Lytechinus pictus: one gene and its partners. The protein of the gene in region 2 purifies or fractionates together with the protein of the main gene of each other region. This does not show direct contact. Links are inferred from orthologs where the notes say so. Each region holds a gene or a part of one and is shown on either strand. Other genes may lie near its edges. The genes, in order: F-box only protein 11-like, forkhead box protein J1-B-like and cyclin-dependent kinase 20-like.

Evidence for each region.
Region 1: the proteins of forkhead box protein J1-B-like (region 2) and F-box only protein 11-like purify together in Homo sapiens (affinity purification with mass spectrometry; 3 studies listed by BioGRID and IntAct, counting the BioPlex papers as one, with this or other methods). This does not show direct contact. The link is inferred for Lytechinus pictus from reciprocal best matches to the Homo sapiens genes FOXJ1 and FBXO11.
Region 3: the proteins of forkhead box protein J1-B-like (region 2) and cyclin-dependent kinase 20-like purify together in Homo sapiens (affinity purification with mass spectrometry; 3 studies listed by BioGRID and IntAct, counting the BioPlex papers as one, with this or other methods). This does not show direct contact. The link is inferred for Lytechinus pictus from reciprocal best matches to the Homo sapiens genes FOXJ1 and CDK20.

Annotation. Positions count from the first base shown.
Region 1 is NC_087251.1:42,373,415-42,384,381, forward strand, and holds the start of F-box only protein 11-like, read right to left. Parts: upstream 3,863-10,967; 5' UTR 3,516-3,862; coding exon 3,479-3,515; intron 1-3,478. UniProt on the Homo sapiens protein: Substrate recognition component of a SCF (SKP1-CUL1-F-box protein) E3 ubiquitin-protein ligase complex which mediates the ubiquitination and subsequent proteasomal degradation of target proteins, such as DTL/CDT2, BCL6, SNAI1 and PRDM1/BLIMP1.
Region 2 is NC_087254.1:9,475,921-9,486,342, forward strand, and holds the start of forkhead box protein J1-B-like, read left to right. Parts: upstream 1-6,289; 5' UTR 6,290-6,661; intron 6,662-7,488; 5' UTR 7,489-7,556; coding exon 7,557-8,141; intron 8,142-10,422. UniProt on the Homo sapiens protein: Transcription factor specifically required for the formation of motile cilia. Acts by activating transcription of genes that mediate assembly of motile cilia, such as CFAP157.
Region 3 is NC_087247.1:23,735,376-23,745,774, reverse strand, and holds the start of cyclin-dependent kinase 20-like, read left to right. Parts: upstream 1-5,653; 5' UTR 5,654-5,714; intron 5,715-10,261; exon of another isoform or gene 10,262-10,280; intron 10,281-10,399. UniProt on the Homo sapiens protein: Required for high-level Shh responses in the developing neural tube.

The DNA of each region.
Region 1 (10,967 bases), on a different chromosome or scaffold from region 2:
GATTGAAATTAAAGATATGCCAGTATTTTCCCACCACAAGTCTACACTTATTTTTTTCTTTCACACAAATACTGTAGCCTATTAATTCGAAAAATTTACCCAATACTGTACTTTTTTAAATATGGAAAAAAAATCTCAAGGATTTTAAATATATTTGCTTTTGCAAAATAAAACCAAGTTTTAAACATACTAATAGTGCTTTAATATACATCGATGTTTATCAACAAGTATTAGTGATCGGGAAGGGTATTATTTATAAGAGGTATGTACATTTAGCCTAGGTAGGACATGGCAAAGCACTATAGGCCTATAAATGATAACAGTATGTAGATTTAATAGCCACACACAGGCAGGTGTAGGTGGGACTAGACACAAAGAAAGCTCAGCAAGTGTAACTAACTGAATAGCACTTATGTAGATTGGCTTCCTAATCAACATTCACACATGAGTTTCACTGCTTCACTCCAATCAGGACAAAGGATGCTATTACCGTGAATCAATGACAAAGGCATGTAGCCTACATATTGTCGGTGTTCGTCCAAACCGTCATATCAGTCAATTTTGGTTTTAAAAAATGATTTTGAGATTTTTGCAGGTAATACAAATCCTAAAGTATAAGTAAATTTCTAGGCAGCAATTTATTTTAGTTTCTGAGATTTTCTCTGAAATGTGTTTCGCACTGTTGTATCACGATACAACGGTTTGGATGACTGCCGCAATATATTTGTACAGTGTAGCTTCACTCATCATATCCTTCTTTTTTTCAGCTTGCCCAGAAGTACCTTTCAAGATGAACTGTTATTTGTTGCTTATGAATATCCACAAATCAACCTGTATATTAAATCATAATTTGTATAATAATATCAATGTGTGGTCATTTCAAGATGACCTTTGATTTGAATATAGGCCTATAATTTTACATGGAGGCCAAAGTGTAAACATGCAACACTGTAAGAAAATGTACATTTTGTACAATATCGCAATTATAGAACAGCATGTCTCCAGATGCTTCCATTTTATTGGAATTCCTTATGAGAGAAGTCTATTGTTGATTTGGGTGGAAGTATTCACTTTTCAAAAGAGAAATGATTGCTATTCATTAGGCTCCTCTGCCTGATCTTAATGCAAAGGTCATTTGACACAAGGGCCAGCTACAAACTACCGCACAGCAACGTTGTTAGCGATGCTCTAACAGAGGCTGTTACAATTGGTATGTGGCAGCGATGCCTAATGTTACAACAATGCATTACGACACATTGAAATAAATGTTTTGACTGCACAATCTGAAAGATGTGACTGGGCTTAGGCCCCCATCACACTTATTCCGAATCAAGCAGAATTGGCCGGAATGAAAGGACTATTGTTCGACCACCAGTTGGTCATTTAAATATACTTCGAACACCATTCGAAAATACCCCTCGAATGTTTTGAACATGACCAAAACCTTCGGGACGGCCAAAAGAAATGACAAAAATATTTCGAAAGCACTCAGAATGCAGTCAGAATATTTAGAAAGCGCCTAGAATGTCCAAGAATGTAGCACGAATTATCAATCTGACTCCATTGCGGTTCATTTTGACTAGTGTATGATGATTCACCTGGTCAATTTACTGAATTTCAACTCCAGTTTGGTGAATTCATAAGTTCCTCCCAAAAATTTCCAGATTTTGGAATATTTTTTTCGTTCTAGCTTCTGCTTCATTCCTGCTGATTCCGAATAAGTGTGCTGGGGGCTTTACTGAAGCACTGGTCTATACTAGGCGTATTTAGACACCCTTGAATCACCAGAGTACCCGTTTAATTACGAGAACCTTTTAAAGCCTTAAAATACCCAATAATTATTTTCCGCATTCACAACGTCCTCAAGAATATCCTTTTTAAGTTCTCGAAGTTACATGTACAAGCATGCCCAATATGGTCCAATAAGCAGGCAAGGCGCGAGATTCAAAATCGCTAGCTCAGCGGCCACCCACGGCGACCGCACCCAACTACACGCTGGGCCAGGGAAGTTCTCATATACCTGCGACCTTGGAAAATAGGAGGAGCTTCTGACATTTGTATCTTATTTTCAATTGACCAGTAGCAAATGTAAATTTCAAATTAAAATTCATACGGCCCTGCACAACATAGGAATAAATTTGTACATTTGAAAAAAAAAATCTTTATTTTCATTCACACTTGGTGTATAAATTTAGAGAATTTATACTGGAGCATGTCAATTACATATGACGTGACAACAGTAAAATATACTTGGCAATGAGGTGCATCAATGCCATGAATGCCTTTCATCACAGCTTTTACAAGTCTATGGACACACAAACATTGACATGTTATAGATTACGATTGGCAACGCTCCCCACCCTTTCTAATATCCTCCATTCTGATGAATTTCAGAGATTAAATCATTCTGAAAATATGACAGATATCGATTCTAAAATCCACTTCTTTTTAATTGCTGAATTGACTCCTCCCACCAATTTGTCTCACTACACTAATAGTAATACATGTAAAAAAATGAGAAAATGAAAATCCATAATTTATTGTTCGAAATAGACATGAAATGAAATAGTCCGAAAATTTGCTTTGCCCAATTGATCGTGGGCCCGGCAGCCGCTGTGCAGCGCCAGATCGACGAGGCTCTATCCCTTTAATCGTTGAACGCCAAACAGGGTAGCAGCAACTCCCATCTTTAGATGTAGATGTATATTAGAATATTTCCAAGTGATAGTAAGTTCTGATGCTGTGTAATGTACATGCACTGAAGTACATCTGCAGAAGTGCATCCTTTTTTATGATTATACCACATTGTGTTTACGTTTGTGCTGTGGTTGTTGGGAACTTATTGAATAAATTTTGTTGGGATTTTGAAATCTATCAACATTGGACTTTTTTCAAAATATATTTCACCTTTGATTACAGATGGAAAATCTATCAACATTGGACTTTTTTCAAAATATATTTCACCTTTGATTACAGATGGAAAACGATAGGAAAATAAACAAAAACAAAATACAAGCATAGCTAGAGCTACACGTATGTATACCAACCAAGTAGGCCTACATGTACATTTACATGTACATGTAGCATCTTCATGTAACCCAACATACATACATGTACATGTACATACCAAGCAACTATCAGGTTTTGTTTACAAATGAATAATTTATGCTTTGAATACATGTATGTACATATTACATGTATAATCAGGGTTTATCCATAATGGACTTACACGCATATTTGACGTACATTAGCGTACACACATATGCAACATGACAGCGTTTTAAAACATGAAAATAATGAAACCATATTCTGGCATACATTAGGGCTTTTGCATGCCATCATTGATACTAAAGCAGAGGTACTAGACAAATTCCCTGTGCACTGGGCCCCCATATATCTGTCACAAATACTCAATGCCGCAAGATCAAAGTTGACTAATACTCTCTCTCTCTCTCTCTGTACATGTCACTATACTCACCCCGAGCAGTTTTCTCTGAAGTAGATGATTTTCCCATTGCATTCCTTCGATGAGTTGATCAAACAAAAACCAAACCTGAGATTGTCAAAAATGTACATGTGTACCCAGTGGCATTATATATGTGCAAGAGGTACGCTGTCATGAGAAGTAATGCATGAAATAGAGAGAAAAATCCAACTCAAAATGGATGAAAGCCAAGCTCGCCGCCGCCGCCGAGTGAGGGAGAGAGAGAGGCAGTCAGCGTGAATACAGGGTTCCTGAACAAGTGCCAGACAGGGTCATATGAGGAGAGTTCCATTTTTTACTTAGAACTCTGTCTCTCTGCCCCTTTCATGTACACCATCGCACCATTCTACATATATATGTATGCAGTAAACCTGTTTTGATTTCAATGAGAGAGGACCAATGGGAACTGAGTGTTTGGAAAGCCTTGAACCTTGTCTGTACTTGGGGAATATCAAGACTTGGAATGATATGTATGGGCAAAAGTAAGCCAAAATACTGAGAATTATATAGGATTTCTAGGAAGGCCTACATGTATACAAATTTCACACGTCAAGTATACTGTATAATGTATGTGGACAATGTTTGCGTAGGAGCAAAACATTACACTGAACAGTCCAGAAAATAAACGCAGGCTACTTTTCACAATCTGCTCCCAAAATCTGGAACATTGGATAAGCTTTAACATTGCAGTGAATGAGGATTTTCTGGGGCTCTCTTGATCATTACGAGGACGAAATCGCCCAAGCCCCCTCGAAACTTTTCCCCTGATACAGTCACACATCAGCAGCAGAGCTCGTTCACGATCAATTATTTATTTCAATAAGTGGCATACCCTTGAATATTTATTCCCTTTTCATACATCTTCAGAAAGTACTTAACCTTGTAATACTCAGAGAATTCGTACGTTGTAATTCAATTTTAAATAAATGCATCTCTTCAACTTTCCAAAGTTAGTAAGGTGTTGACATCTCTTTTTTTTTATTAGTTACAAATATGCCTGATCCAACAGACTAGCGGCAGAAAGACCTTTCATAGCAGAACAACTTGCTTCATTCCATCTTCATGGTCAATATCACGGAAAGTATGTAGGGTCACATAGGGTCACAGGTACAGGGTAAACAAAACACAACCCTGGCTCTTTTCACCAGGCTTTTTACAGCCTCTTCATTCAAATCAAATTGGAATAACAGTAAGGTTCAATTTATTCATGTCCTATATTACTTACTCCTCTCTCTCTCTCTCTCTCTCTTCATAGTCAGATATCCCTCCTCACATGCCTCTCCTGCTTTCTCCTCCTTTCTTGATCCTTTTCTTTATCCGGTCTCCTTCCTTTCTCCTTCGCTTATTTTCATTCTACTTTTCATAATTGTCTATCCCTTATTGTTCAAAATGTAGCTTAAATTTTTTTTCCCCCCCCTGAACTGTCTTCATTTTCTCTGATCTCGAGTTTCAAACTTTGCCACGTTATCCCTGTTCAAGATAAGCCAATTAAGCACAGTAATTACCCTTCTCCCTACAGTATTTCTATCTCATTCATTTTTAGAATCATTTTATAAAGCAATGAAATACCCACCTTTATTCCAATAACTTCACCTGCAGGCCCTTCCATTAAATGTGAATGCCCCTTCATTACAATCAGGCCAATTTTTTTTTTTCAATTTTGCAGTGCTTCTTTCACCAACTACCGTAAGGGCACTAGTATTCAACCCGTTTGGAGAGTTTCTTCAAATATACAGAAATATGGAATTTACCTGAATTTCAGACCTGTCTTATTCCAAGAGCAAATGCTGGTTATTCTTTTCCCGTTATTTTTTTCTTCAACCGTCAACTGCGTGCGCAGGCGATCGAATTTTACGGCGACGGTTTTGGTACTAGTATTCAATCCGTCGATACTAGTATTCAACCTAGTGATGAAAGATGGCCCTGTCTTTCAATCTGCCCTTGTCCCATCCGACTATGGACTAGACCATTTGAGATGAGATCAAACAGGGAATTAATCAAAGCCAGAGACTTCCATAGATCTAGATCTAATTTAGCAATCTAAACCCTTTTGAAATTTGCTTTCAATCCTCACTAGGTTGAATACTAGTGCCATTCAGTGCAAAAGGCCATCGCCGCATAATTCGATCCTCCGCGCATACAGTCGACAGATTGATAAAGAAAATACCGACGATAGATTACCCTGGAAATAACAAAGGTATGAAATTAAGGTAAATTCCCTATTTCTAAATATTTTGGGGAATATGTCAAAATCTTTGAATTATGCCGGGTTGAATACTAGTGCCCATACGGTACTGCCTAAATATGCAACAAAAAAAGATAAACTTTACATGTAGCATTGCAGTGAATGGGGGATTTCCTGGGAATCTTTCAAGCACTTTGGGGGCAAAACCTCCCTGGACCCTATTTTATTTTTTCCCTAGGTGGTTTCAGACTGCCTCGAAGTTCGTCAGTTCCAGGTATTCTCTGATCGGGAAATTTACCCCGATCAGAAAATACCAGGTATTTTGGTAATGTGAAAGCAAACTACGCGTAATTTCCCCGAAAGAAAATACCCGCTAAATAGTAGGTACTTGGCGAAATTACGAGAACTTTCGCGGGGATTTTTCCAAGGTCGCAGGTATTTTGGCGATGTGAAAGCAAATTACGGGAACTTTTAGCCCAGCGTGTCGTTGGGTGCGGCGCCGTGGGTGGCTGCTGGGCTAGTAGTTTTGAATCTCGCGCCTTGCCTGCTTATTAGACCATACTGCGCATGCTCCTAACTTCAGGAATTTATCCCGAAGTGTATGTTTCGGGGCGGTCTGAATGCAGGAATAATTAACGGGTATTTTTTAGCCTAAAAATGTTCTCGTAATTTAACGGGGATTCTTGTGATCGAGGCGGTTTGAAACCACCTCCTGATTACATTAAAATATCCATATTTTATCTTTCCTTCTGTCTTCTTCTGCATATATCTAAAGAGTTTTTTCAAAGCAAGCCATGGTGTTTTCATACTGTGCAAATCTTTTTTTAAATATCATTATCATTAAATCTGGCTTTCTAGATTGTATTTTCATATTCACCATTTTCTAATGATTTTACTTTATTCTTCAGTCGAAGGCTGAAATTATACCAATACAAACAATTCCATTCAACGATACATGCCTAAAACTACAAATGGGTAAAAAGTATAACCACTGTAAATGTAGGCACAATACTGCACACAGACATATGTTGTATATCCTGACATTTTAGACAATATACATGTACTACATGTACATATATAGAAGGAGTGTCTTATAAAATGTCTGCTGAAATATACCTGTTCTTTATCCTGACGACATGTTTTGCACAAGGAGTACATTGAAGGCACAATCTGTTCATACATAGGTTGACCCTGGAGGGAAGGAATTTAGGCAAGGATCTGCATGTCATGATGAGTCAAGGGGTGAACTTTACAACCCTCTTAGTTTAATGACTAGAATTTGCATTTTACTGGCTCATGCCATCTTGCAAAAAAAAATGTCTGAATATAATCTAAACGATAGCTGTATCTTTAAAGGGAAGCTACTCTTGTGGAAAAGATTGAATCAATAATTGAGGTTTTCAAATTCTAGTATATCTATATGGAAAATGTTAAGACTATTATAGGAGAAGGGTTCGATTCAAATAATTATTTCTAAGATGCCCTTATATTCAAGCTATGGCTTAAAGGGGCTGAAGTATTTGGGCCAAACATTTGTGTGTCCTATTGCTATTGAGTATTTTTAGTGACAATTTTAAAGAACAAACGCTCAACGGCAATACCCTAAAATTCATCCAAGACTTTATTCAATTTTTTTTTTCAAAAAGGAGCTTAAAAGCATAGGTCTACATCAGAGATTCTGATGAATCCAAAAGATATACATGCCTGCAGAAATGACAATCCCACGTAAATTTACAAGATTAGATTGTCATCTTGTCCCAGACTCCCATACAGGCCAACGTGTATATCGAAATCAAATTCAAGAAATAGATCTCTCAGAGTCAAGAAAGAAGGGAATATTTATAATTTACGTGGTAGTTAATGACTAAAATCAAACTAACATTGGCATTTGATACCAAATATATTCTTTAAGTTAAGGCAGACCTCGGCCTATTTTAGAATACTGTACTAGAATATATGATAATGTACATACATTACACACATGCACTTGTATTCAGGAGATCATGAAGTGGAGAAAAATCCACCAAATGTATGTCAGTATGACTTCCTTCTTACAGAAATACATTCTTCACACGGACATGTTACAGAATACATAAGGCTATAACTCTCGGATCCTCTATCAGCCTTGATCCTGTATTATCTTGACAGTTTGTTGCCTAGCTATACATTTCCCATTAGCCCCACAGAGGCTGTACCACAAATTACAGAGGATATTATACTCGGGCGCCAATATGGCCAGTTTCCTGCCAACGCACACAGAATCACTGCAAAATGTGGATCCCTGCCGAAAAAAGAGACATTTCAAACATACTTCACAGGGTATACTGCTTGAAGAATACTGTAAAGGGACTTTAAAATGTTGAAAGGCTTTTAAAAATTGCACTGAAGTAATGTACATGTATTTGCTTCTGTATGTATATCAAATTAACTATATGTATTATGCCTCTCTTGGAAAAGATTTTATAAGTAGTAGTACTACCAAATAGTAATAGCAGCAGCAGCAGCAGTAGTAGAAGTTATAGTAGTAGTAGTAGTAGTAGTAGTAGCAGTAGTAGTAGTAGTAGTAGTAGTAGTAGTAGAAGTAGTTGTAGTAGTAGTCATAGTAGTATAGCAGTAGAAGCAGCAGAAGTAGTAGTAGTAGTAGTAGTAGTAGTAGTAGTAGTAGTAGTAGTAGTAGTAGTAGTAGTAGTAGTATAAGTACATGTAGTAGTAGTAGTAGTAGTAGTAGTAGTAGTAGTAGTAGTAGTAGTAGTAGTAGTAGTAGTAGTAGTAGTAGTAGTAGTAGTAGTAGTAGTAGTAGGAGTAGTAGGAGTAGCAGTAGTAGAAGTAGTAGTAATAGGAGTAGTAGTAGTAGTAGTAGTAGTAGTAGTAGTAGTAGTAGTAGTAGTAGTAGTAGTAGTAGTAGTAGTAGTAGTAGAAGTAGTAGTAGTAAGTAGTAGTAGTAGTGGTGGTGGTGGTGGTGGTGGTGGTGGTGGTGGTGGTGGTGGTGGTAAACTGCCGATTCGTCCATTGCCAACTTGTCCACTCATCACATGGTCTACCTTTAGTCATTCTAATGCCATTCCGTCCAACAGTTCTTCTCACAACCATTTGGTAGAATAATCACTTTGTCTTATCACCACTTCATCTATGGCCATTTCGTCTAATACCCATTTTCTTTACATTTATTTCGCCCAGTTAACACTTATCCAATCCAATTAGACCAAATGGTTTATGGACTAAATATCTAATGGACCAACTGGTTAATATATGAAATGGTGAGTGGATGAAATGGCACTTAGACCATGTGGATAGTGGACAAATTGATGAGAGACCAAATGAGAGTAGACGAGTTGGTAATTAGACGAATTGGCATTAGACCAATTGGAAATAAACCCATGTACATGTAGTAGTAGGAGGAAGGGATAGTAGTAGGGACAGTGATTTTCCGCGATCGCGGAAAACGGACGGAATTCACGGAAAGGGCCTTTTGAAACGGAAAGTGGCATTTCAAACGGAAAATCACAGAAAACATATTTTTCCTCAAAATACACAGAACAGCGACAGAAATTACTCCAAAATCTCTACAAAATATGAATATTAAATGGCCACAAAACCCCAGAAAACACGATCTCACTTCGCTACAATCATAACAATTCACACATCGTGACTGCACTCGACTTCATCACTCGACCGTACCCCTCGCCCGTCCCCGTATCCGGCCGAGCGCCGGGCAGGGTTGGGCTTTTAAAAAACATTCACATGCACACATCATTTGAACAACAAGGTCGTGTGTTGCTGCCCTCTACGTTTGAAGATGTAACAGCGCACAATATCGAGATCTTGAAATCCAAAATGGCGGATAGGCGAAAATCGTTGACTGCTGAAAACGATGTCCAAAAAAAAACCCCCAAAATTATCGATGAAATTTCATTTAAGTGTGAAATAATGCTAATAATGTGAAAGGTGAGGATGTATTCATGTTAAATGTGTTTGTCAAAACATTTTGTGTAGCTGCATAGATCCGATTAAAGCGGATTCATTTGCGTTGTTGGTACAGTGGCAGATACAAATTTTGACCAGGGCGAGTGTTGTGATATTGCTATTCAATGGGTAAACGGAATTGTCACTTTTTAATGTACACAAAGTCTATGGGGAAACAGAATTTCCGTTTTCTGACATGCTGAAACGGAATTTACGATTTTCTAAAACGGAAAAGGCAATTTTTTGAAACGGAAAATCACTGTCCCTACAGTAGTCATAGTACACTGTAGTAATATAGTAATACTAGTATAGGCCTAGTAGCAGTAGTAGTTGTAGCACTAGCAGTATGTAGCAGCATTGGGGGGGGGGGCACTTCCATTGACCATGGCGTTTCGAAAAGCACCCTAAACAAATATTTTCCATATTCTGAAAAAGTACCCCTTAACAAGTATTGGCATGTGAAACCCTATGCTTAACAAGTATTGGAAACAAAACGGTACCGTTGACAACTATTCCATGAATTGACCCCCTAAACAAGTACAGCGATATTTTTATTATGTCACAGTGACAGACGTGATCATGGAAGTCGGCTTTACCTTTACTTACATTGGTTTTAGTACAGCCCGTTCTCCCACACCTCGCTCATATCGGACCCTAAACACGTAATGTTGGGGCAAAAAGTACATCCTTTATAAAGCATTTGTCTTTTTATAACATCGAATATTTGACCGTAAACACAGAGCTTTCCTAGCGAAATATACTTTTTTTCAGTATTTTAATGTTTTTTACACTCTTATTACTTTACGTACGTAATGTGCCCAATCTTGAAAAAGAGATCCTTTTTACACGTTTCTTTGGTCGCGACTGGTATCCACTCGTCAATGGAAGTGACCCCCCTGGGCAGCAGCAGCAGCAGGAGTAGTAGATATGCAATCAGGCTGATCTAATCTAATCAAGATGGAAAGTGCTCTAAACAAGTCTCATGTATTATTATCATCATTATTATTATCATTACTACTATTATTATTACTATTACTATTATTATTATTATTATCTATTTAAGGAGAATCACATATCTATTCTTTTCATTTTTTCAGTCATTAACATACAAGGCACTGACAGCATCTTTCTGTTTACCTACATACATGTAGAAACATATAAGGTCTTCATGTTTACTACTTTACTGTAGGCCTACATATAGAACATTAATACTGCATTACACTTACAGAGACAACATTTGTGTGAGAGAGAGAGAGAAAGGTCATTGTATCAGAATTGTATTCTAACAAGAACAGAACCCCGAGGCCCAAACAGACCTGGATGGCTACATGTATT
Region 2 (10,422 bases):
AAGAGGGAGTCAAATAGCCAAGTCATATGCCTCGCATATCTGTGTACGTAATTAATCGAATGAATTTTAAATTAAATGACATCAACGAAAAGGTTAAATCAAGAATTTACATTTGAATAAAATGCAATGCATTTGGTCCATCACCAGAAAATCATATAAACAACAATGCATGCGGAATGCAATATGTCTCCAGTGGCGGATCTAGCTTTTTGCTAAGAGGGAGATTTGACAAGTTGGTTTGACCAATATCGATGAGATGTGATGTAATGCGTCCTACCCCCCCCCCCCCGTTTATGTAACTGTTCTGTTTGCGCGACTTAGGAAGCCCGAGGTGGGGGGGGGGGGTGGGGTTAACCCCTAACCCCCCCCCCTCGATCCGCCACTGGTCTCCTTTGGGTCGTTTGAGCACTACTGGAGCGTTGCAAGAAAATTAAGTTGTAAATGACCGCAAACCAATTACAATTTTATCAAAAGACTTGCGCTTAATTTGTGATTTACGCTTGAAGTGGAATCGCACGTAACGACCCATTTTTCGGAGTTTTCGCGAATGCTACGCAGACGCGTTCTGGAACATAGAGAATCTATTGCCATAAGCCCCTGATGACAAAGAAGTCATTGTCGAAAGTCGGTGAGTCAAAACAGCAGTGTCATCCTGACTCTGGACAAACTACATATTTGCTTTTTTTGTTCGTCACTAACGACAATCAGCTGTCCCGGTTCACCAATTTTCGACAAAGACCTCTCAGCTGTTCATAGTGATTTAACAGGCATTTCAATAGATTTACTATGCTGTAGAATCCGTCCCCGTTACAATTGCGAAAACAATCGCTCATTACATTTAACAAAATCGTAGTGTATCCAAAAATTGACGGGATAACAGAAGAGTGTTTCATGAACATTAGTGATTTGTCGGACAAAACGCATGGTCGTAATACAAATTTTTGCGCTCCGAAATATTGTCAATTTTGTTTGTTCAATATAGTAGCTCTGAGCCAGTTTTATGGTTTTAAATACTTTCCAATGTTTTTTAAAACTTAAATACATTGCATATCATACGTATTTCAAGTTGTCAACATTATCGACCGCCCTTTCGTTATTTAGGCCATTTTCGGTCACAAATCGATATGTTCGCCCCCCCCCCATATTTTCATGGGTGCCACCGCCCCTTCCCACCCCCCGATCGAGAATATTTAAGAGGTCATTGCCTCCTAAGCAAACCGCGCTATCTTGATCCTTATTCATGCATTTCGCCTATACTTTCCGAAAGTATTGTTTAGCACCATTTTACGACTATCAATCTATGATGTCAGAGCTGTGACAAACAGGATACCAGACGATCTTTCTTTATATAATTGTATTCTTGGAACCATCGATAATTTACCTGTTCTAGTATCCGTAAACATGTTTGTATTGGTAGTATACAGTCTGTGGATCTACTTGTTTTTTATTTTGATTTTTTATTTGACTTATTTTTCTTCGACATAACAATATAATATAACATAAATTTATATTGACAATAAATCAGGCATATAATCACTGAACATAAAATCAGTAGCAGTTTATGGATTGCCATTGCAACCCCCAAAAAACGGTTGAAAATATGACAAACCGAAACATAATTCATTATATAATCATCTTACATGTCTTATGAGCACAATGGATTAATACGAATTACTAAAGTATCAACTAAGTATGAAGAAAGAAAATCAAACAAGCCAACACTTGCTATAATATATAATCAAGAGGAAAAACAATTATAATGAAAATAAAGATGAAGAAGATGATGATGACGACGACGACGATGATGGTGGTGGTGGTAATAATTATGATGATGGAAAAGGAATAGAACACAATTTTGACACAGAAAGTTTACCTTGCATATGACCTTAACTTTAGCTTTGAGTGTATGGAGCAAGAGGATTGTTAAAGGTGATAATGGTGATCGGGGGCAGCCAGGGGCGGATCCAGGATTTCCCAAAGGGTGGGGCAAATTTTTCGGAGAAAATTTTGACAAGCCAAAAAAAAAAATGTCTTCAATTTCAAAAGGGGGGCACATCTCGGTTTCAATGTCATTTTTACATTACATTTCCCCCTGTGCCCCCCTTGATCCGCGCCTGGGGGCAGCGCAAGAATTGTTTGTAATATGGGGCTAGACTTCCACAGTGAGACGTCATACATAATATAGTTACACGGCCCACACTGTTCATATCTTGCTCTCTGAATTTCCTCCTTTATGTCTTGAATACTCGAAAATCACAGGGGGGGGGGTGCGAGTAATCAGGGCGATCACCCCCTGCCCCCACCTGTGAAGCCGCCCCTGATGGCGATGATGGTACAATAATTATAATAGATGTGGTGTCCGAATTGGTTCTGGTGATAGTGCAGACCGTGCAGTATGTTAGACGTTTTGGATATTTTCAAGTTTGAACCTTCGATTGAGACCTGCACGGTCAAGAAATAAATCCTATGCTCACCTGACCTGTTGCCCTGTGAGATGGACCATGGACCTAATACATGGGTGGACCATGGTCCATTGATACCTCTAAAAGATCCATTTCAAAGTCTAATCTGGACATCTCATGTCTGACCTTTCTGTCCACCAAACGTTGATGCGCACTTTGAGTTGGTTTGTCATGGATTTGGATCATTGAACAATTTATTATTGACATGGAGTAAAGACAACGCTCCAAATTAAGAAAGAAAGATAGAAACAAATAAACAAAGAAACCAAACCGAATCCCGTCAGTACACGATGAATCTCAACAGGCCAAGACAAAGCTTCTCAAAGTGGCCAATCGATCCAGTGGGGAGGCCGAGTGGTGAGCCCCTTCCCCCCCCCCCCCCTAAAGAAAAAAGAGAGAGAGAAAAAAAAAGAAAAAGAGCTCAAAGGTCAATAGAACCGATTGGCCCCCAAGAAACGACAGGCAACAAGAAAAAGGGAACTGTAAAAAAAGGGGAACGCGGCAAGTTCCCCCTCCCAATCCGGATCCGCCTCAAGCATCACCATCTGGTATATTTCACTTTATCATGAATTTCAGAACATTCTTCTTTGTGGGAAAAAAATCGAGGTATGCATGAATCACGGATAAAGAGCTCCATTCAAATTCACTGATCTGAATCGAAATGAAACGACATAATCTGGACGTCACTAATTCCCTCTTCATAACACCCTCTTCTTAAACCTCAACAGGTCGATGGGTAAGGAGAAACGTATTGAGAGAAACACAATCCCTCTAAAACGACATACTTAAAAGCATTTTCAACACGTTCAAGATCATTCAATAATCAATAGGCTGACTTGATCCGCTATGTTGAAGCAAACCTATAGAAACGGGTGTCCATTAAAATGCCCTTTTATATGAGCTAAAAAGGAAACATGGAGACACTGCCCTGTCTTAAATTTTTATGCGTTCAAAAAGAATGAAGATAATGGCGGGATTTAAAGTTAACACGCTGGGGACTCCTTTGTATTTTAGAGGTTTTAACTTTTAAGTGACCCAGTTATTGTTACAGTATGTTTTGATTTTGAAGAAGGTGTCAGTTTTCATTAATACGCCATTGATTTTCCCCAGAAGCTCTTTAATCCTTTTATTTTCTCACCTGCATGGATCAAAGACTATGCAATTAAGATTGACGTCTTTCAAGTATAGTCGTTAGTCCTCGAGGAGTACACCCGGGGAGTACGCCTTACAAGGGACTCCGTTTTTTTTCTTCAAAGAGTGCAAAACGCTGTAACTCCTAACCACATTTCTATTTTACCAGGACAGTGTGTCAGAGTGTTGTGAACATGGCTAACACCGAATATGAAAAGGCGGACAGAAAGAGCCTCCTATGATAAAACGTTTCATCTCCCGAAATCTAAAGTGTATTTTTTTATTTAAATATCAATTGCACATTAATGTTGGGAGGAGTATCTGCATTGGGAAAGTGAAAAGGAATGAGAGAGGAAGGGGGGGGGGGGGGGGGGTGACAGAGTGCGCGAATAATATGTCAGTAGCGTAATGAGTAAAATGTGTATGGAGTATGGAGCAAAATTTCTAAAAGGTCACGGCAAGCGAAGCGAACGAGCAAAATGTTTGATAGGTTTAGACAATAAATTTAGAAAATAACACCATATTTTTATATCTTTTACCGGTTTGCTTCTCTTTGATTTTCTTATTCATTTTCTTGGGGTAAAACTTTTTTGGGGCCATGCCCCCAAGAACCCCCCCCCCCATCTATACGCCATACAGTGATTATTGTGCGATGGGAGGAGTTGAATTTACCTTGAGGCTCACATCTCTTTGGGATAAAGAAATCTATAAGAAAAAAGGGCTAATCGAAGAGAAGTCAGATGGTCCGAGGGGTGATGTAGAAAGTGGTCCCTTGAATGATTTTTTTTTTAATAAAACAGATTTAAAAAAAAGGTTGAAAATCAAATGCTTCATTGAAATCAATGAAAGAAAGCCCAGTCTCAACGCCACACCATTACATCTGGGTACTCTACACCCGAGTTAATACCTGCGCGAACTTGACCTTCTTGTTGCCTTTTCGACACCCAATCAATCTCGATGGATTCCTGGCTGAAAGTATCGAACAATGCCAATTCACTGATGAGAAAGGATAAGAGGAATCGCATCGATTGACATTGATGGCCCCGGCATTGACCCGGGACTGTGAGGTCAGTCAACCGATGATAATTAAGGTCAAAGTATTCGGTCTCAAAAGGAGCCTGGGTGATGAGGAAGAAGACGATGGATTAAACACGTATACACAGGTAATATTGGTTTGTTAATTAGGTCAAAGTTTTCGGTCTGAAAATGATATGGGTGAAGAATAAGATGACGGATTAAACACGTATCACCGCTAATATTGGTTTATATTCGCGTGGTCTACACTACCAGTTGGTATAATTTGTCAGATACCACATGACAAAACCTTCATTTGGTCTACTATCAATTTTGCTCTAATTGCCGTTTTGGTCTACACTACATCTGGTCTAATACTACTTGGTCTAATTCTCAATTAGTCTAATGCCCAATTGGTCAAATTTCCATTTCATCCGCTCATACATTTTCATTTACTTTGTCAAAGAAAAATTTGGTCCACAACAGTTGGTGTAACCACATAGGATAATTTGTAATGATGGTATTGATAGTAATGATGATGATGATGATAATAATATTAATAATAATAATGATTATGATAATAATGATGATGATGATAATAATAATGATAATGATACTAGATGATACAACCATTATAATAAAATGATAATATATCACAGATCTGTTTCTGTAAAGACGCAATATTTAGGTAGTGTTGAGCCTATTGAAGTAACACAGTTCATGAATTTGAAATAGTGATAATATTCAACAAGTTACCGTGTAGAATATAGGCCTCCGAAATAGATCGATTTGTCTTAGCAATCAACGCAATATTTTTTTATTACACATTCCAGCATTCTGGCAAACCGGTATATACTTCCACGCAGACAAAATACCAGAAAATAAAGAGCCGATAAATCTCATTAATATCAAGAGGGAATAATTGAATATCTGCCATATGATCTTAAAACTGAAATAAACTTCAGGATCCGCATTTTCTTATATTTGTTCGCCTTCTTCATCAAAAGGCAAGGTCCAATTGAATCAACATGCTGCTATTACACCACATGTACGAATTAAATTAGCCCTATACCAAACACAGATCTTTAATTATTTGTAGACTTCCTTGATTTCTTCTTCGCGTGAAATCTGTCAAACGGAATCAGCAAGTTTCTAGTCGTAGATAATATACGAGAATGAGAAACATTTTCACCATTTAAGGCTACAGCCTACGAGAAATCGCATTAATATTTTAATTTTTCCCCTGTGTAATAAATTTTTCGTTTATGAGATATCAATATCCTTAATGCGAGGTGGATGCAATGATGATGAGATGTAGTTTTCGACGAAAATGTAATTTTATATGTGAAATTATCTCTCCAGGTGCTATAAAATACAGGTTGAGATGCGGTGAACCACTGTCAACGATATTCTATTTTCAAGACCCCTCTGATTCCATCAAATCGTTGACCGCGATCAGATTTTTAACACAAGTTGTAATTCCCCCTTAAATTTTAATAAATTATAAATTTTTCATCATACTGAAAATATGAGATATCTCATTCTCTTGACAATATCCATCATTAGTGCGAAAAGTGATTTGTTTATCTTGGTTTTCAGGAATAGAGGTTGCCCATGCAAGACTAGGCAATCCACCCTGCGAAGCCATATTCTATGCTATACCACGGCGAGTCGACCAATCAGAAGCGCTCATTCGGTTGTTGATCACGATTTACTCTGTTGCTACGTGGCGACGCGATGCTCATTCACATGTTGATGTGTATTTTGATCCGTCGGACTTCAGTCGATCAGCTGTCCGCGTTCGCAATAGGACGCTTCTCGTAAATTCTCTCTCTGGCCAGCATAGCTTGACGTGCAACAGACTAGCCTTGCCTGTATTCCACACAACCTGTTGCACCATCGGGGCAACCACCATAACAAGTTGTTGTTTTGATACCCAGTTTTCTATATACATCGTACCTCATCTGTCAATGTGCCTGGATTTTTGTATCATTGCAATAAAAGGAAGCTATTTTATTTCATTTCATTACTTCACTTGGCTCTACTTCATTTCGGTGAGTTCTTGTATGACTGTGTTTTTATGTAATATTTATTATATTGACACCTAACATTCGTTAACATGTTTTCTATTTATTTTTGTTTACATGTGTTTACTTATTTAATCAATTGTTTCTCTAAGTATTATACCACCCATTTTTATATTGATATCGATGTTTTTCAGCTACATTTGATATTGCCCTTTTATTTCTTTATATATGGGGTTCGACATTTTATATTGAATTTCACATTAAACCATGGCAGAAGTTAAAGGTTTCCTAGATAGCTGGATTTCGTGATTTATATTTTTAGGGGAAGCCCCCGTTTCCATTGGCTTTATTGTGACGTCATTGCCTGGCCTAATATGGGGCCTGTCATGCGCGTACTTCGCGCAAAAAATGCATCTACGCACAAAAACTTCCGCTTTATCGTACGCGCTCAAAATGTAAACAAACTACACGTGCGCGCATCAAGTTTTGCATGAATTTATTCTGTAATTTGGCAATGATGGGCATGATGGCATGGGTTTCTTATCTGACTGACTTAACTCCGTTCTTTGATCTAGGTAATTTATTTTAATTTACATTCTTAAATCAAATCCAAATTAAATGATAATTAATAATGCTCATTATGTTGACATTTATCCACTCTAACGTAAGACAGGCTGGGGTCTGAAAAAATTTAGAAATCCGAATGCCTTAATTGTTGCTAATGCTATTCAGGGGCCGACGAGACATAACTCGAAAATCTAACTTTATTAATTTACTCTCGTAAAACATTTGCTTTATTCTTGATTTGTATTTCCATAAAGTTATCAAGTGTCTTTGGTGTCCATTTTTTACAGGAATTTGTGGGAATTAAATTGAAAATACGTCGACTCACTTGAACAAGAGGTCACAACCCCAATCCAAGATGGCGGCTGCCAAAGTTGCAACCATCACCATCCCCTTGCTCAGCTCCAAGGAGGCTGCTGTGAAATTCAAACAAAACTGGATCACCAAGAGCCAGCCCGTCGAACCCCCAAAGACAGAACCCAAAGAAGACAACCTCGACGACAGTCTCACGAGTCTGAACTGGTTGCAGAACCTCCGGATCATGCGCATCCAGCACCCCACCCCTCCAAGCAGCCCCACCCCGCTCTCCATCCAGAACAGCATCAAGAGTGCCCTGCAGATCCACAAGGGCGGCAATGGCGTCGTCAAGAGCTCGAACTCTCACAAGCACTCGCACTCCGAGATCAAGATCTCGAAGGTTTCGTCGTCACTCAACCACCTCCATCACAACCACCACCACCACCATCTCCATCAAAGTCACCTCCAATTGGACCAAAATACAGACTACAAGACGAACTCGAGCATTAAGCCACCATACTCCTACTCCACCATGATATGGATGGCCATGAAGGAGTCCAAGAAACATAAGATCACTCTGTCATCAATCTACAAATGGATTACGGAGAACTTCAAGTATTACCAAGTTGCAGACCCCAGTTGGCAGGTAAATATTGTGGAAAAGAGTGTTTCTTTTATTTTCTCATAGGATGGGTAGGGCGATGCCCGAATTAGGCAGATAAAAACATCATTTTTTGCTCTGGATTTTCTCTAACTTCATAGTACATTCAGTAGCAAGAATAATTGTGAACATCTCTTTTTATTAATATTCGATTTTCTTTCAATCGAGTTATGGAATATTGATCGCAAAGTTCCTAAACATTGACGTCTTGTCCATACACATAACCCGTCCGGACAAGCTTGATCTATTTGTGAGGTATAGTATTCAAATATGGTTGCAAGGAGTCAAATAAAGGACTTAATATATTTAGTCTTTGGCAAATACTGAATAGATTAAGTCTTTTCTTTAGATGAGTCTTTAACATTTGACTTTTGAGCTCTTGAGACAACGCATTTGTTATCTGAACTCGTAGATCTCAAGCGTAAATATACCTAGATAGAATCTGCCCTCTTTGGGGACTCGTATTCAGCATTGATGCATGTGTGAATAGCATTTTTTAAATACCACTCAACCACTTAACAAAACACATCCTGGAGTTCACGATTACCGTCTTGATCCTGTCAATACCCTGAAAACTTCTTGGAATTCGGGCTGTGGACGGAGGAATACGGGAGAAGAAGGGGAATAATAGACAAGGCGACATACAGGATGTGTCTAGATAGCAGAGTTGAAGGATGGGGTACATGTACCTAGAAAGAAAAGTGGTCAATTTCAGATTTTTGGTTATGAACATGATGTAGCGCATTAGCTACGAGAGAAATAATATATCAATATATCCTGAACGAAGTTTCAAAAGTTCTTTTAAGTGAAAACCTCCGTCACTGCAGTTAATGACACACGTACTAAAATGTGCATCGTGCCCCCCCCCCATCAACCCCCTTCCTACAATTCATGAAATGGCAAAACTTGTAGTTTTTACCATGTTTACCCGCCAAATCCAAAAAGCCTGAAACCGCCAAGCTAGTCAGTCCCCTGCAGTGAGCCTGGCAAGTTTGACCTCTTGGGGTCACAGCCAAGGAATGCAGACTTTTGATGGCGGGTTTATCGGGGGTTTATCTGTCTCGGGCCTCGAGGGTGTAATACCACACCAACCTCCATCCTTCCATCAAGGTCTGGTAGCTCAAGGTCAATGGTGGGTCAGTCTTAGGTCACTTTAAGGTCACCGGGGAGAATTTCTGCTTGGAGAGTGCCGTTTAGTCGTGTGATGTAGGCCTACTGTCAACCTTGCGTATTCCCAAAACTACAACTGAATCTTCCATTGTAAAACTATAAAACTACTTGACCATATATAATCAGAGGTTTTACTTGTAGCCCTACATTAATGAATAATGAATAAGTTTGGACATGCAGGCCATATTCATCTGATATTGGTTTCAATTTGAGAATTTTATCACAATTATTCATAAGTGGACAATTTTTGTTGTCACAAGAAATTGCATATGTACACGAATATTGGATTATATGCACTACTTTGACGGTGAATTTTAACAGAAATATATATATCTATAATTCAAGCTCTCGTGCGGAAGCAAAAAGCTTTTGGAATGGACGACTCTCATTGTGTACTCACACATCTACAGTTCAAATAGCTACAGGGGTGGCTGGCTTTGAAATAAAAGTGAATAAAATATGACTGTTGACGTCAGAAATGGGAGTCTAAAATGATTTATCAAACACTATTACTGGAGATGGCAGGTGAAAGCAACAGGCGAGGGAAATATAAGTTATATTCCATAAAAGGCGCTCGGGGTCATTTTTTGTTAAAACTGACCTTCGACGTGGACTGACCTAGATACTTGCTTGGCCATTACAGATCGTTGTATATCTGTGGAATTTATAGTTGAATATGAGCGCTAACATTAACAAGGACTTGGTATTTCTTTGATAGAATGGGTTTGAAATCGGTTCCAGCGTACAAATCGCTAGAAATTCAAAATGATCACCCTTCCTGGAAAAAGAAATCATTCTATCGTGGCACATGCAGGCCATTTGAATATTCTATTTTGGAGCAATTTTTGCTGGCATGTTGATGATTTAGTGCGATATCAATTACTGTTAATATGGTTTAAATTGTCTTTTTACAAATATAATTAGAGTGAATGTATTCACTTACCCGATGAATTTCGATCACCGATGAAGCATGAAAAATGGTTGGGCTTCGATCAGGTTAAAGGCAACCCTTGGCTTCGTTTGACGTTGACCTGAAGGATGTAACCGGAGATGAAATTGATGAGCAATGTATTATTGACTGCCACAGTTATCTTTT
Region 3 (10,399 bases), on a different chromosome or scaffold from region 2:
ACTATGACAAGAATGAGAATCCATACCTGGACTAACAATATTGTTCTTATTTCTTACTCAAATTTAAAGACATGTGCGGGTAAAAAGCACTTATCTATTTCACACCCTTTTTTACTTTTTTGGCTTAAATTTGTATTTTCCCTCTAAAAATGTATTTTTGTCTAAATTTTTATTTAAAATCACATTTTCTTTCATGAAGACATAGACTAATAATTATATGCTACATGTTTCATATTTTGAGGACTGTTTCAAGGGAATTAACATAATGATAACACAGCGCATATAGTGAGATATTTTTGTATTATGCGCTTTATAATAAATTAATCTTTATTTAATTTCATTTCGTTTATTCCCCTTCCAACACTTATAATCTATTTCAGACATTTGATATACAAATTAAAGCAGGAAACATAATAGCGGATTTCTATGTACAATAATTTTAATCAAAATTATAAACAGGTTGGGTTGACGTGGCTGAGAAAGTAGAGCTTGTAGGGTGCAGCCTCCTAATAAAAAATATTCTTGTAGATAGTATAGAAAAACAAAATAAAATGACATCTTGAGCATAACGCCATTTAAAAAAAAAAAAAGGGAAATGAAATGAAAATAGCGAGATCCGTTATCATTATTATAACTATGAGAAAATCACGTGCAGCCTAAGTTGTCCCTCTCACTTGTTTTATAATTCATTTACCAAATTGCCAATTTGAAATTTACATAGTCTTAGTGACCTCATTTTGAATCTTTTAATCTACCTTTAACTTTTTTTTACATTTCTCACTATTACCTTTCAGGATTGAAAGTTAGGCCTACAGGAGTGAAGATTAAAAAAGATCACGAACTATTCCTTGACAAAATATAAAATTTATGGGCCGTAAATGCAAACACCTTCAGTTCAATAGTTTAATACCTCGGTCACATTTACTCTATGGCGGCCCTAACGGCGAGTCGAAAACAGCAGTTTTGACATTTTTAGTACCAGCTATATAGTGGTTTCCATAAAAATTAATAAAACGGCTGTTTTCGACTCGCCGTATGGCCGCCGTAGAGCAAATGTCAGGGGCCGCTGAACGGTTTTCAAAGTGGGGGGGCTGAGCCAAAAGTGGGGGGCTGACCATGTACAAAATCACAATCGTATGGTCATTTTTGTGTTTTTGTACACGATTTTGGAAAAAAGTGGGGGGGCTGAAGCCCCCCCCCCCCCCCCCCCCGCTTCCGCGGCCCCTGAATGTGACCGAGGTATAACATGCAGAGTTCAGAATAATGGTCATTATTTTCAAACTTATGTATATCGAATTGAATTCCAAATTTTTGGAAACAATCAATTTCATTTTCTGGCTCTAAACTTTATAAAATTATCTATCATGTGATATGAAAACATCCCCACTCGCAAAATATTTAGCACTTTATCAACAAATAATGTAAGAATATAGTTCATTAGATATATATAGATAGGCCTACTGCCAAAACAAACAATTTCTGCATAAAGATTTTGTAAATAATGAAGATGCATTTTCTGTAAATAGGGTGAATACGTTCGTTGAAGATGACTGCAATTGTCTGTATCAGAAATAAGTAGAATGTGATGTACAAATATTGTGATTCACTTTAAATTATTGTTTATGCTATGATAAGGAATTTGCTGTTCCTTAGCATATAACTTACCAATCTGATTATAATAACGCATATTTAAATCTGTCATTGAACCCAACATACCATCATGTTCGTATACAAGTTACGGTAGTATTGTTCCATTTTCTACCTCCCCTCACTTCTACCATGTCTACCCAAACTCAGTCTCTCTCTCTCTCTCTCTCTCTCTCTATATATATGTATATATCTTCTATCTCTCTTTCTACCCTACTGCTCGATATTGCTCGTTTTGACTATTCCATATAGCATATTATTGTATAATGTATTTTTCCAATTCTCTCTTCCTCGATCCTATCTATCTAATTCTTTTTCGTTTATTTTACTCTTCCCCTCTCTCACTTCTTCTTTCCCTCTATCTCTCATTATCTCTCTCTATCTTACTGTGTACCATGTGAATGCATCCATCGTAATTGTTTGAATTTATTTGTAATATATTTTAGATATTTAAGGTTATAATCATTATATTACTGTATCGAATAGTAATATAATAATGTATTATGATTATAATGTATAATGTACTCTGATTTATGTATCATGTAATAATGTAAATTTAACATGCCGACCAACCTAATAGGTTGCCGGGCCTGGTTCTTGTTATTCTTGATCTTTAATAAGGACATGATGTACTACTATATTGGGCTACCCTCCATTAGCATTTTACATTTATTTTAGATACAATTACCAAATGTTTATAGTTCATAATAATGTTTTATATAAGTGTACGTGAGAGTAAGCATTGGTATTATATTCAATTCAGTATAATCATGAACGGAATATACACTCAAAATTTTTGTTCGACGTAGTGTTTGATGAAAGGACAAATCCCATTTCATCCGACAGTTGCCATAGCAACAGTGCTTCTCAATTTCTCAGCCAATCAAAATCAAGAAATTTGTCAGATCTGAAAACTTATGAAACATCAAAATGCCGATGAAAATGCTTTCTTGGAATCAACAGGAGTTAATATACTAAATATTCAGATTTGTTTGAATGAGAAATCCATGATCGATTTTTATTTGTTTGAGGTTTAAAATGTAATAGAAATAAATGAACGAATGAATAGATTATTGAATAAATAACTGAATAGACAGATAAATAAATAAATACATGAATAATTAAATGAAAAACAAACATACAAACATAAAAGATGAATAAAGCAGTAATAATGTTTGTATGTGAAGCTTTTCATTAATAAGATAAATCAATAAAAAATACGTCGATGATGTGGTAACCATTGTTCTGTGTTTAATTCTAACTTAATTCTTTACCAAAAAAAATTATGTTGCATCATGTGCAATAGAGTACTTGTGAAGAGAACGTGCAACTTGGCGATATGTTGGTTTTATAAGAGCAGGAAAATTAAAGAAAAACAAGTATATCTTCGAAAAACATCCATTAGGAATAAGAGAGGAATGAATTTTTTTGAATTTTTATTTCGTGACGTCATATGTGAGCAGCTCATCCGTATATCATGTTATGTAAATTATTTTTTAATGGAAAATGATGGGTTAAAAATATTTTTTCCAATAGAAGGGGGTATAAACTAATGTTTGATTTGATTTATTTATACACGGTAAAAAGCCCTCGATCATCCAATGGCTGGTTTTCAGAGAGGCCGTGCAATATACAAACAATACAAAGAATAAGAAATCATAACAAAGTAAACTAAGTAAAACAAAAATCTATATACAAAACCAAAGAGGGGGATGAAACGAACAAAAACAAAATCAAAACAGAAAAACAGAAACCCAAAAACACAATTGTAACAAATTAAAAAAAAGTTTGGTAAAAAAAAAGGATAATCAAGATTTCAGGACTTTTTCAATTTCAGAAATAATGAAGCGAGAGGACATTTTCCTTGAATTTTTTGTTCAAGTTAAAAATGTCACGCTTTATTCAAACTATTTAAGCATAATGTTTCGGATGATGTATCCACCCCCTTAATTAATTTTTTTTCTCTCTTTTTTTTTAAATGGCATTTTTGGAATTTGGATCACACGAAAGGTGCTCAGTCTATGACGTCATAAACTCAGAACTTTAAATATTCATTCTTTTTTCTTTATTTTTTTTCTGCTTTATTAAAGGGATGCTCCAGGCTGAAAATAATATGATTTAAACAGATAAAGAAAAATCAGACAAACAAAACACAAAAAAATTGATTGAAATCGGTCAAGGAATAACAAAGTTCTGGCATTTTAAAGGGATGGTCCAGGCTGGAGATATTTATATCTCAATCAATATAGTAAAATTCACATAGCAAAATGCTGAAAATTTGATCAAAATCGGATTACAGATAACAAAGTTATTGAAATTTAAAGACTTTGCATTATTCCGGTGAGACAGTTCTCAGCACATCTTTATGAATATTCATTAGGTGGGATGATGATGTCATATCCCCACTTGTTCTTTTGTATTTTATTATATGAAAATAGGTTTATTGACAACTGATTATGTGCATTATTTATTTATTGCCGCAACTTATTTTCTCATACTGGAAACACATCATTTACACGATTTTGATACAATTTTCAGCATTTTGCTTTGTGAATTTTACTTTTTTTTTATCTAGATATAAACATTTCAGCCTGGACCATCCCTTTAAAGATTGGCATTATTCCGGTGAAACAATTCTAGACATGTCTTCATGAATATTCAATGAGCAAATTGATGATGTCATGTCCCCCACTTGTTCTTTTGTATCTTATTATATGAAATTTAGTTTATTCAATTTTTTTCTATAATACCAAGAACTGATAAATATGGATTGACAACTGATTTAGTGCATTAAATTCATTGCTGCAACTTATTATTCAATTATAGAGGAGACACATTATTTACACATGTTTGACAAAATTAAACAATTATGATTTCATGTAATAAAATAAGAAAAGGGAAAGTGGGGATGTGACATCATCAGTCCACCTAATGAATATTCATGATGACGTGCATCCAACTATTTTCACAAAATAATGCTTAATTTTAAAATTAAATAACTTCGTTATCTGTTATCCGACTTATTGATGAAATTTTCAACATTTTGCTTTGTGAATTTTACTCTATTTTTTATATAAATATTTTCAGCCCTGAGTACCCCTTTAAAAGCAACTTTTACTAAGGGGGGGGGGGGCACTTGGAAGGTGAGACCGCATGCCCGTTTACAAATACACATAAAGGCCATGGAAAGAGTTGTTTTCCACTGTTTTGGCGATGCATCGTGTGTACAGTGAAAATAGTATCATAATCAGCCGAAAAGGTGCATCATTTTATAGTTAGGATATAGGCCGGGATATTCTATCAATAAAAAGATTTACGGTAAAGATATTCTGAGATCCCGTGCTCGGCTAGGAGTAGGAGAAGGCCAAGAGTGTGTGTGAGAGAGGGAGAGAGAGCGTTAGAATGAGTGGGAAATCATCGTAAAAAGAATGAATGTATAAGACTAAAAATAAACCCAATTGGTAGGAAATCGGTCCCTTATTCGACTGGTTTTTTTTTCTTTGACATACATTGACAGGGATCGGAAGTCGGAGACCCCCCCCCCCCCCCGGCCCGTGATTTTCTCCGTCAGTACGGTATGTGCACCTGACATGAAAAAGGGCATGCAGTGTGAATGGAATGTAGATATGAGGCTTTTAATCTGATTACATCTTGGACTTGTATTTTTTTTCAGAGTCTTTCCTCAATTTTCAATTTGAAGAAAATTTATATGAAAAATCGTTCGCGAACCTGCGTCCGTGAATTCAACTACAAATAATAAATTGAATCGAACTGATCAATGGGTCGGAAATTACGATAATCCTAACGGTTCGTATTCATGAATATTCACGAGGAGTAGTCTGAGTAAAAAAAAAACCCACGTAGTTATCGTTATTCCATGGACTGCCCTCTCGCAAAGGGTGCACAAGTACTGACAAAAAAAGAAAGAAAGAAAGAAAAAAGAAGAAAAAAAAATCCCCCGGCCACATCAGTGATCCCACCCCGAGAAATTGATGATGCCATAAGCCCTCTACGTTCGCTGAATTAGAGAACTGATGCTTGGCGTCGCGTAATTCGTAAACAAAAATGTAAGTCAGATGTTTTGTCGTCGTTTCTTCACTTATAGTTTAATTTGATCTCCCGAATATTCTCTCTATCTTTACTCATAAAGAGGCATATACAGCACAGGGTAGTCATTCTGACATTATGATTATGCTGCATGCTGGGGATTTGTATATCGGTTGTTAGTGTTACAAGTTAAACGTGTTCCCACATACAAGTTTAATCTGTGTAGTCATTTGTATGCCCTTTAAAAATTTATGTAGTCTCAATGTAGAGTAACGTTACGTGCCCAATATTCGACATGTTAAGCTTTTCTGCAATATTTTTCATTCTAAAATTTCTTTTCACAAAATGATATTTGGACCAAGGTTTGTTAAATATAGACCCTATTATTTGTCTTATGTTAATAAATAATATGCAATGCCAATGGCAATGACAATGTTCATTTTCAATTTCAAATTCCAAAAATCTTGAAATGTAGGCCGATCGCCATTTTTGCATGCTTCATGGCCCAAGATTCGACATCCCCTGCCAATCAAGAGTTCATTACATGCCGCCGCGCACAAAAAAATCAAGTTATAGAAGTCTGCTGTTGTGGATGCCAGAATTAAGGAGCTTTCGATTGACTGCAACGTAGTCCTAGTTCACCGGAAGTGGTGACACCGCTCGTTCAGTATAACGTTCGTACATTGTAGTATTGATGAAAACAGTAGGGTGTCTGGAGAAAAAAATTATTTTTCTTATTTCTAGAAAATATCACATTTTCTTTGTGAATTTGAAGAGAAATTACCTTCAGACTGACAGAAATGTAACATTTTTGAAAAAAATCAAATTATTGGCTGCAAAAAAGAAGAATGAAATTAGGTCAATTTTCAGCATTTCTCTGCCATAGACTGTGTAGTTAAGAAATGGACACACACAAATCCAAATTTTTAGCTTCCGAGAGCTGTTATAAATTTATTACTAATGCCAAAAACTTGTCCATAAAGAGTCCAATAGGATTTTTTATGCTCTATCTGATGGTATGATTTTTATAAAGATTTGGAAACCAGATCACAATGAAAAATTGCGACAAAGTGAAAAAAATTGTGCAAAACAGAAATTTCATTTTCCCATAGAAAACGCATGGAGAAATGGCAATCTCAACACACACAAAAATAAGGGTTTGCAATTTATCTCTAAATCCTTATTTAAAATAATCATATAAACTTGTCCTTACTGTCAAAAGAAGCCCCTGAATTTTCTCTTCCCATACATGCCAAACACAAGTTAATAATCAATTCAGATCACATTTTTCTAGTAGCCTGAACTTCCCCGAAAAAATGTGCCATATTTTCCCCTAAATCAGCCTGTTTTATGCTGACACTTTTCAGTGTGGCTTCAGACACCCTAAAAACAGTTTCGATTTTAAGTCGACATACCCGTACCAGGCCACAGCATATACCAGCGTGATAGCGAGCGGGCCGTGGGCCGATGCTCGGCCGGAGAATCAGGCGTAGCATCACGCTACGAACCAGTGGGGCGACTGTGGGTGCAACATTTGTACTCGTGCGCAAAAAGCCGAAAAAACACAGTTGTTTGGAAACAGAACATCAATTACCTATCGTCGGATATGTAGTGTCTGAAAACAGGACACACTAAATGTAATGGAAAAGCTGGTAACAAGCAGTAATTTGCAGTTTACCAGCCCTGCTGAATCAACGAAACTTGAATGTTGATGCGGCTTCATTCATTTTTGCTAAGCCTGGATGACGTCATCATGTACGAACTAGCACTCGTTCGAGCACTATGACACTGAACGTCAAAACCCTCAAATACGAGTCACAGATTTGGGCAGTGAACGAGGAGGCTCGTCACAGATTACTTCGCGCATACGCAGCGCTCCCAAAATTCCTTAATCTTGTACGTCCACATGGCTCGTCACAGAAAACGAAAGGTCTCCAGTGGCGTTGCAGCACGCGCGACCCACTAGTTAGAAATCCACTCACCACTGCCAAACACGGTTCTTGCCCCGAATTCTGCCTGGCCCTGCCATTCGCTCGACATAGCACATCACGCGTTCAATAATCAATACATGTGAGAGCCGCTGAATTGCGCTGCACCGCATGCGATGGGCAACCTAAAAGTTGCAGCGGTCATTCGCTCCTGCATTGCAATCGGGGCCCGCGCCCCTGTCGAATGAAGGCGACCTGCAAGCATGCCATGACTTGATTTCTGTGCAATTTTGATACCGTTGAATTTTCTTCTTACTTTCTTTTTTGATTGGAAATTTTGAAGATACGATCCTAAATTTGCGAGAAAGTTATCGTACTCGGAACAGAACCAAGGATTTCTTCACATTTTTGGCGCAGTTTTCTGCGACCCTGTTTCTTAAATCTGAGCTAAGCCGCCGCTTAATATTCAACATTTGTACCACAGAAATACACATAATTTTTATTTGATCCAATTATTGTATTTTTGTTTTGGTCTTTAAGTATCTGATATTTGGGCACTTTATTGCATTACAGGTAAAATTTTTGAATAAATATCTATGTATTTGTATTTACATTGGTGGTTGAAAGTCTGACTACTCTGGCAGCTGAGCTTTCTTCAACCTTATTGAGATTCCAACGACCCTAGAGTGAAGCCCGGGGGGGGGGGCACTCGACCAAAAAAGTAGTGGGTATGTGCTGCGGGCGATACAAAAAACGGGGGCCTTGGAGCGGGCTTATTGTAAAAAGGAGGGTCCTGGGAACGGGCTTCGGAACGACAAATGTTTGTGAAAACGGGGGTCCTTGAAACGGGTCGCCTGCGTGTGATTGCGTATTAATCCCTATGGACGTGCATGCAGCTAGCCCGGCGGCACTGGCGCCGGGTGCGCTAGCGCAGATGCGATGGTTGGACAGCGCTCTGCGGCCGCTTTTCACCCAAATTGCGGCTCATTGTAGCAGATCAATACGGCTGGAACGTCGTAACGGAAAATATGCGAAGCTGTGGAGCGGATTTCTTCTTTTTTCTCGATAAGAAGAAAATGCTATACTTTGGAGCGGCTTTCTTTGTTCTTTTTCTCAATAAGACAAAAATGCTATGCCTTGGAACGGAAATTTGAGTGTAAAAATGGGGGTCCCCTCCGCGGCATATACCCACTATGCATCATATACTGAGTGCCCCCCCCCCCCCCCCCCCCGGAGTGAAGTGTCTGTCTGGCACTGTCTGCACTGCAGCTACCCATTCTGTGTTTGAAATATCACTTATTTAACAAAAAATAATCAATAAAATTCATTTATGAACTGTTTATTTCTTTCATTATTATGAGAATATTTCTAATTTACCACAGACTGAAAATGAAAGAGTCGGAGTGTTTGAATTAAAATTTTGAGCTTATTTGTGGGGCACTGTGTTGATGAAAGTGTTGTGGGAATAAAAAAAACATGGCCCATAAACTCTCTTTGTAATAAAAAAAAACTAAAGAATTAAATTTGACAAGCCACCTTATCCAGTGTTTATGGTTGATCTTGTCCTCAGTAACTTGTGTGTGGTGAAATAATAAGGTGGTTCAGTTCTTGAGGATGATATGCATGTATTAAGAGTGAGCCTGAAAGGAGGTTTTTTTTGTTGTCTCGTGTGCATAGCAGAGCGAGACTATAGGCGCCGCTTTTCCAATGGCGGTGGCGGCATCAACATCAAATCTTAACCTAAGGTAAGGTTAAGTTTTTGAAATGACACAACTTAGAAAGTATATGGACCTAGTTCATGAAACTCGGACATAAGGGTAATCAAGTATTACTGAACATCCTGTCCTGTTTTCAGGTCACATGACCAAGGTCAAAAGTCATTCAGGGTCAATGAACTTTTGGGGAATCAATATCAAAATCTTAACCTAAGGTTAAGTTTTTGAAATGTCATCATAACTTAGAAAGTATATGGACCTAGTGCATGAAATAGAGGTAGTGAAGTATTACTTAACATCATGCCCAAGTTTCAGGTCACATGACCAAGGTCAAAGGTAATTTAGCTGAACATCCTTTGCAATTTTCAGGTCACATGACCAAGGTCAAAGGTCATTTAGGGTCAATGAACATTGGCCATGTTGGGGGTATTTGTTGAATTGGCATCAAAACTTACAAAGTTTATGAATCTAATTCATGAAACATAGACATACATGTAAGGGTAATCAAGTATAAATGATTGTTTTGCACACATCTTAGATCACATGATCATGGTCAAAGGTAATTTTGGGTCAATGGTCATAATATTTTATTATCATATGAATGTTTATTTTTGTGAATAATTATTCAATAGCCGTTTCCAAAGTCACCATTGCTTGTATATCAAATCGCGTAATGCAGGCGAGACTGCCAGAGGCATTCCACTTGTTTAAATTCTTTGTCTGCGAATCCATTCATATCCCCTCGACCCTTCTTGTTTTGGGAATTTTGTTGCTATTTCCTTGTCAATAAGATGGTGTCATTCCTGATTGAGGATTTTGATGGGATTTTTTCAGCATCCAAAAGGGTATTTTGAAGTTGATTTTTTAGTGTCCCTGCATACTCTGGTCCCACACACTGGACTTAGTAGTTGTGGGACATGACTACATGGCACATACATGGACAGTAAGTTTGCAATCTTGTTTTTGCAGTTTACCTGTGATTTATAGCCATTTAGAAATATATTTACTTCAAGTGACACGGTATTATATCTCTGTGAAAGTAAGAGAGCAAGAATAAATCTT